Linked DNA regions of Nothobranchius furzeri. The protein of the gene in region 2 interacts with the protein of the main gene of each other region in a biochemical or structural test. Links are inferred from orthologs where the notes say so. Each region holds a gene or a part of one and is shown on either strand. Other genes may lie near its edges.

Region 1 (3,818 bases), about 19 Mb from region 2:
CTTATTGACCTGCTCTCTGCTCTGATTCACCCAAATAACAAACATAAAGGACACAAAGGAAAAGAAACAACAAAACACGTCAGTATTTAAAAGAAAACAGCCCCTCCAAAGGTTCATCTGGAAGAAAGGGAAATAAAGAACTAAAATACATGTCATCCGTTTAGGGCGGTTTTTTAGATGTACAAAAATCTAAAGCAACAGTTTCTACTTGACAGCCATGCTTCGTATGTTTATGATCAGCCTCTTGCTGTAATCTCTGTGATCGACGGGCTTCACATCGAACACTGTGGCTTTTACTCTGGACTCATCCTGCCAAACACACACAAAAGAAAAAAATAAACAACTTTTTTACAAAAGTTATTTTTGATATTAGAAAAAGTCACATCTTCCCATTTAAGGTGCATTTCTGTGCATTAGCCAGAGCATTCAGGGTGTGGTATTTACCAAACACAATATGCTCCATTACCCTTTATTACGCAGCAATACGAAATGTTCACATAGAATTTATAAGCAGCGGTGGACAAACGCGAGCATCCTCCCGTGCAGCGCGCTTGGATGCGGTATGTGAAGTGTGATGGCATTTAGCTTCCACAGCTGTCTAGACATGAGGTGGTGATTTCTCTCAGGGCCATTTACCCCTGCATTTAAACAGAGGTTACGCTCAATTTTTCTCCATTAAATCTCTGTTGCTGAAGTGGCTAAAACGTAACCCGCCATCGCTTGGACTGATGCCTACTTTCCTTACGAAGCGTCTTATTGCTCGTTTGTTTCGGATGAAGAAAAATGGAGAAGCATTTTATGCTAAATATATATATATATATACATATATATATAAATATATTGATGGTTTTCGATTCATCTGTAACCTAAAAACTCATTTAAGGCCTGGGTAACCCTGCCCAGTCCTAACCATAATGAATGTTTGCCAGAATTAAAAAAAATAATAAAAAAGATAAATACCAGTTTCTAAAAGTAAAACACGGTACTTATCCCAAATTACTTTAAATAGTTGTAATTACAACTCACAAAAGCTCTGAACTAACAACATCACATGTTTACAAATGCAAAAACTATTCTAGTGAATTAAAAATGAAAACAAAAAGTTCTACAAAAGCCATGTTTCCACTATCAGAACTCTCTTTGGAAAAAGCCCGGAAGAGTCGCCGGCGCCAGTTGTGGTCAAATCTTGCTGATTGGTTGTAACTCAGTAGGAAATCACATCGACAAGAGGTTGCCAATCAACCCTTATGCTGGTGGAGCAGAATCGTAGGAAAGAAAAATGAGCAGCGTTTATGCTGCATTAAAAATCACCAATTCTAAATTCCTAAAACTAAAAAATGTGGCAGAAATCCTCCACAACACCCTCATTTTTGCCACCTAATGGTCCGCTACAGAGCACCATAAAAAAATGGCACTCAAGTCTGGTCATTGACCGTCCGGGGGCATATTCTAGTCCAGGTAGGGGTGTCACGGTGTGGAAACATTACCTCACGGTTATCGTGACCAAAATGATCACGGTTTTCGGTATTATCGCGGTATTTTTTTAAACGTGTTACATTTTCAGACAACTACATAAACCCTGTATGTCAGGAAAATATTGTCCTCAGTTTGTGTCCAAATTTAGCCTAAAATGTGTTATTTTGTAATTATGTTGTTTATTTGTTTACATTTTTTACTTTTGGTCTTTAAAATACCAATATTTGCCCATAACTTCTTATTTTGTCTGTTTGATGTCATCTTTTTAAAAATATTAGATCAGATGATACTCAGTACTCAAGTAGCCTTCTAATCAGATACTTTTTTTTTACCCTTACTTGAGTAATAAACCCTATATCAGGAAATATTGTCCTCAGTTTGTGTTCTTCCAGTGAGCTTTGCAGATGTGGGGAAATGTCATCAGGCAGTAATCATTGTTAAATTCATAATTATTCTGGGAGAGAGACCAACTCTTATCTGCCCCTGGGAGCCCCGTAATGCATAGCGTCATTTCAACATGGGGGTGTCCGCGACACGGTTTATATGCAGGTAGCGGCGCTGCGGCTGCTTTATATAGCGACTCGTTGCATTCTCCCTCAACCCAAATCCTCGGATCACGCATTTTAGCTAAAACGCTAACGTTAGCTTGCCTTGCGTTGACTGTAGCGTTGTGGGTGATGGTCACGCAGATGTGTCATGAGATTTGAAGCGTTGCTGCCTTCCACAGACACTTTTTCTGCACGTGCTGCAAACAGGATAGCCGTCTTCTATCAACTGTCCCTCGGCATTCTTCAAATATCCAAAAAATGCCCGTACTTCCCACTTTGTCTTCCTTGAGGGATAATAAATGTCCTGAGCGCTGCCGTCTCCTCCTTTGGCCATTATTTCAGCTTTAGCTTCAAGAAAGTTTTGGTTGTAAACAACAAAGTGCGCATGTGCCGCCGGCAACTTCAGCAGATGATACGGTGGCTGGTAAGGGTCACTGCGCCTACACCGCAGCCACGGTAAACCCAACAAGATTTTTTTTTTTAAACAAGACAGTTATTATTGTCAACTTTTTTTACCGGGGTTTACTGCTACACCGGTTACCGTGACAACCCTAAGTCCAGGTACTCAGTCTGTCACTGAAACGGCCCGGTAAAATAAAAACACGCTGAGAAGGTCTGGTTCAATTACCCAGAGACTCCTAGAGTGTAAACAGACCATAAACATGGAGGACAAGGCTCACACGACCTAGGTAGTGGCTTTGAATGAGTAAATGAACCGAAAGACGTGTCACAGGTGTCTGCTGGAGTAAACTGGTGTCTGGAGCACGGGCTAATACACGCTTGTTAGCAGCGCCCTTGGCAGTTAGGATGCTGGCTGACTGAGATGCACACAGTGGCCTCTTCTGTGTGTTGAAGGCGGATGCTGCCTCTGGCCCGGACCCAAACTTCCTGCTCAGAGTCCCAGCCCAATCAATTCTTTTATGTTTCCTTCCAAACAAGGCTTCATCTGTGTGGCCTACAGGAAACAGTGACCGCAGCTAGGCTGTGTGTGTGTGTGTGTGTGTGTGTGTGTGTGTGTGTGTGTGTGCGTGCGTGCGTGTTTGAGAGAGACCACCAGTATTCTGGGACAATCAGCTTTTACAAGACAGCCGTGCTAATAAAACCCAGGTTGTTTTTTACTCACGTTGTACGTTTCCAGTTTCACTCGGTTACGAAAGACAAACGTGTTGAAATTTGATTGCTGGAAGACTTCGTCCAACGCAGCTTCACTCTGACATCAGGACAAATACAAATGCTTTAATACACTCAAAGCAAATCATGTCCAATAGATAAAAACTTGAGCACATTTGAATTCCGTTGAATATTGTGGAAGAGTCTCACCGAGTCCCTGAGCTGGCCCAGGTAAGCTGCATTCTGGCCCAGAATGGCCTCTGCGCTCTCCTGGAAGCAAGTCACCCACTGGTTGTCGGTGTAATCTGCAATGTTAGCCTGACAGAGAAAAAACAACCAGAAAGATGACAATCAGGCAACCCTGAGGTGAATTTATCATGATACTTTTCATTTTTAAGTGTGATTTCTTTTGGGGTGAGGGTAGCTGCTGCTGGGAAGCCTTGTGAAGCACGGTTGCCCCACACACACACACACACACACACACACACACACACACACACACACACACACACACACACACACACACACACACACGCACACACACACACGCACACACACAGTGGAAGCAGCTTCACAGCTTATTTTTCAGCTTGTAAGGAACAATATGTCACATGGTGAGAGGCACTAAACAAAAGCTACTGGCTTTTATGGTTTTGCTACTGAGATTGTTGTTAATAAAAGGTT
Region 2 (3,818 bases):
AACAGGGTCTGCTGTGTGACAGAGCGCAGAGCTAGAATGGGCTCCACCATGGTAAAGTCACTGTCCAGGAGCAGCTGGGAGTGCTGCCGCCACTGGCTGCAAACTTCCGTCAGAGTCTCATCTGAGAAGGGCCTGGCAGGAAAGATTTTAAACCCTTAGTGTTGATCTTCATCTGGCTCATACATTCTTGTTTCACTGGCTCCATTTTCTTGACTTTTACCCACCTGGAGAAGAGCTGTCTGATGCTCTCCAGCTCCCCGATGCTCTGCAAGTCCCTGAGAGCCGGGTACAGAGACGACACCGCCTCCAGACTCCCTCTGCAGAGCTCCTCCACTGCTGCACCCCTGCAAAAATGCACATTTTAGCGTTAACTTGGAGAATATTTGGGAACAAACTGGATTATTTATGCATCAACTGTACCTGGTTTGTCTCAGAGTTTCATCAAAAATGAGAAATTCTTTGTCTCTCAGCGCTTGCAGGGCACAAAACACTGATTCATGGAAGCCGGGGTTGGATTCGTCACTCCTATTACAGCAGAACAGGTCAGTGAATTAAAATTCACCAAATCAGATCATTTCTTTGCTCCTCACCTGTTTGACAGCTCACAGTCCCACTGGGCGTTCCTCCAGGCCGCCTGGAAGCGCAGCTCTCGCAGCTCAGGCCCCCACTCCACCCCTTGGCTCTCCAAACCCCTCAGGTAGGTGGCCAGGACGCTGCTCAGACCAAAGTTCTGCAGGCCCTGGTGCCACATGTCTCATCAGAAGCCTTTCAGACTGGCAACTACACAGCTTCTTCCTACTCTTACATACATTTATTTAGTGCAGCAGCTTTAACCGCCTTACCTCCACGATTCCCACCAGCCGAGTGACTTCAGGCAGAGTAGACTGAAGGTCGTATGAAGCCAGGGCCTTCCCCCAAAGAGCCTCGTGTTCGTACGTCCGAATCCTGTAGACCAACGTGTGAAAACATTCTGATCAAACACTGTACGGTATGTTGGTGCACCAGAGCCCAAAGTCGTTTTTTAAGCCTAGTGTCAGCAGAACTTTCTTCAGCCCTTCACAATAAAGGTCTCAAACAGTATTATTAAGCTTTTTTTTAAAATAAGATTCTGCTGTTTTTGACTTATTGTGTAGGATTGAAGGTTGGTAAAACCCTCAGTTACGATAATAAAAGCAGCTCACCGGGTCAGTGAGCTGCTCGTGGTGTCTCCTCCACAGCCGTACAGACTGTCAGGCTCTCCAATGCTGCGATACACCTCAATCAGCAGATCCTGGAGCAGCCAGAGGGAGACGAGGGGGAAAACAAGGCTTTTGTTAAAGATTTATGACAGTAGAACAAGCTACAAAACAAAAGCCAAGCTTCACTTTTAAATCTGTGACTTTAAATTCCAGCTACATTTTTAGGAAACGCATGTTAGCGGCAGAGCAGACCTGCAGACTGATGTTGGTGTCCTCCATGCTCCTCTCAGTCAGACTGAAGATGGTGACGTTCTGGCTGTCGTCCTCAAAATTGATCTTTCGTGTTGCTCTGGACTTGGACCTTCATTTGTTCAATAAATCCAACAACAACATTTTTATCTTTAAATTAAACACTTGAGACTGGAAAAGGCATCAGTCCTGGCTTTGAATGCCAATGCACCTGATCACCTTAAAAATCCTGATTCTGGGAGGGAAAACGTCCACATGGAAGTGTTGGTACTGCTAGCCTGAATTAGCGCTTTAGCAACGTGAGTTCACAGGCTCACAAGAAAAAAATTCATATTTCTGAGATTCAGACTGATCAAACTGATTCCAGTTGCCAGCTAACTTCATGTCACGCGTCTATTCAAGACCCAGGTTCCTTGAAGGAACGCATATCACCTCCAACGTTTTACGCCGGAGTTTTAAATCAATATCATCTGGTGATGAAAACCAATAGAATTAAAGCAGGATTGCTCAAATTAAGAACGCCATGTTTCATTATTCAGCGAGCGTGATAAATCTGGGGATTACCTGCGCCTCTCCTCCATGTTGGCTTTGATCTTGTCGACGTAGATCTCCGAGTAGAGCAGAGCGGTGAAGTGGGCGGAGCAGGACTGAGCAGCTCGGGCCACCTCCAGGTAGTTCAGGTCCAGCCAGAAGTTGGAGTCACACACCGTGCCACAGGAGTTACTGCAGGAATAACGACAGGGATTCAGGAACTACAACAAGAACGCGGCGGAATGGGAAGTCCTCCTGGACCATCATGTTAACAGATATATTCTATGGTGCTTTCAAACACAGCTGCAGGACCTTCACCCATAGAGGTGGTACAGTAATCCATGCAAACTAAAACAGAGCAGCTACAACAGTTCTTTATGTATGAGGCAGTCGCATTTAAGGTCTGATGGGCGAAAAAATCTCAAGTTTGAAGTGACGTTGGAGGAAGTTCTAGCTGAGCTTTCTACAGGTTAAAAAAAGAATCAGAACACCCACAAACCTATCAGCCTCCAGCGGTCGCTGCTGGTGTCTCAGATAGTCGATCACAGCGAGCATGGTGCGCAGAGACGCCTTGTCACACAAGTTCTGGCAGGCTGAGTCAGACTCTGCTGGAAAAATTAATTAATTAATAAAAATCAGCTTTTTCTTTTTTCTTTTGTTTGTAAACCTACCCGAGTCAGAGTTGGCAGGTGTGGTGGACCGACTGGTGGTTTGAGCGCTTCTGGAACAAAAACTGAAGAAGTCCCGGATGTGGGAGGACAGCAGCTCCCTCCAGGACCCGCTGGGGTCCTCCAGCAGGACAGAGTGGATGATGAGAGGCAGCAGCCTCTGGCAGCAGTCCACCGTCACCTGGAGACAAACCGAACGAACCGGCGGATGTTTTGGTGACTGAAGCCGTTTTGGGAGTAACCGTGTCCACACGCTCACCTGACACAGTGGTCCGGACAGCTGCAGAGCCTCACTCTTGGCCCCCCCGCTGTCCAGCAGAGCTGTGCACAGAGCCTTCAGCCAGGCCTGGTGTCTACCTGCCTGGGGATACCAGAACTCCTGGCTCTCCAGCTTCTTCTTGGCTTCTGAGCTCTCCACAGCAGCCACAGCAGCCACCTGGTCACCCAGACAGACCAACTCTTAACTCCAAAACACAAACAAAGAAATCCGTTTCAACCCGACCCACCTTGTTCTTGGCTGTTCGAAAGGGATTGAGGTAAACCAGCAGGGGGTCTCTGTTGTCTTTGTGCTGGTCCCAGAAATCAGCTCCAGACTGCGTGGCGAGGATGTTCCTCACACACTGAGCTGCTGCCCGCCTCACCTCGATGCTAACAGACAAAAACAATCAAACCCAAACACTTAATGCAGAACGTTTAACCAGAGTCACAGCTTCCACGGTACCGCTGCTGCGTGAGCGCCTCATTCATGCAGTTCAGGATGATGTAAAGTTGCTGTGACTCAGTGGAGGTGAAAAGAGCCACGGCCTTCTCGTAGAGCGGGTCCCTGCCGTGGAGGAGGGCGATGGTGGAGAAGTCCACTGGGCCCAGTTCTCCCAAACAGCTGCCTGCTGCCTCTGCAGGACAAAAGCTGTCTGTTTAATAAAAACATCACATAAAAACTCATCGGAAGTCAAGAAATGAGCAGATCCGGTACCTAAAATGTCATCTCCTTCAGGATAACTGGCAGCTAGCTTGCAGAGTTGCAACAGAGCGAGAACCAGCTTCACCAACACACTGTCAGCAGGGTTAGCTGCACACGAGGCCAGAGAGAGAAGACGTGAGTGTTACACAACACAAAAGGTGATTTTACTCATGCAGAAACACTTTTCCAGCATCCCACCGTGGCACTCTCTGAGCAGCTCTTGAATCTGTC

What was found.
Region 1: the proteins of atm (region 2) and rpa1 form a complex in vitro, tested with the Homo sapiens proteins (3 studies listed by BioGRID, with this or other methods). The link is inferred for Nothobranchius furzeri from reciprocal best matches to the Homo sapiens genes ATM and RPA1.

What each region holds. Positions count from the first base shown.
Region 1 is NC_091753.1:47,681,125-47,684,942, reverse strand, and holds part of rpa1 (replication protein A 70 kDa DNA-binding subunit), read right to left. Parts: intron 3,453-3,818; coding exon 3,345-3,452; intron 3,235-3,344; coding exon 3,148-3,234; intron 310-3,147; coding exon 205-309; 3' UTR 1-204. UniProt on the Homo sapiens protein: As part of the heterotrimeric replication protein A complex (RPA/RP-A), binds and stabilizes single-stranded DNA intermediates that form during DNA replication or upon DNA stress.
Region 2 is NC_091753.1:29,135,054-29,138,871, forward strand, and holds part of atm (serine-protein kinase ATM), read right to left. Parts: coding exon 3,786-3,818; intron 3,696-3,785; coding exon 3,600-3,695; intron 3,520-3,599; coding exon 3,348-3,519; intron 3,275-3,347; coding exon 3,133-3,274; intron 3,063-3,132; coding exon 2,886-3,062; intron 2,808-2,885; coding exon 2,630-2,807; intron 2,567-2,629; coding exon 2,458-2,566; intron 2,151-2,457; coding exon 1,992-2,150; intron 1,540-1,991; coding exon 1,431-1,539; intron 1,271-1,430; coding exon 1,182-1,270; intron 946-1,181; coding exon 843-945; intron 740-842; coding exon 591-739; intron 526-590; coding exon 421-525; intron 345-420; coding exon 225-344; intron 133-224; coding exon 1-132.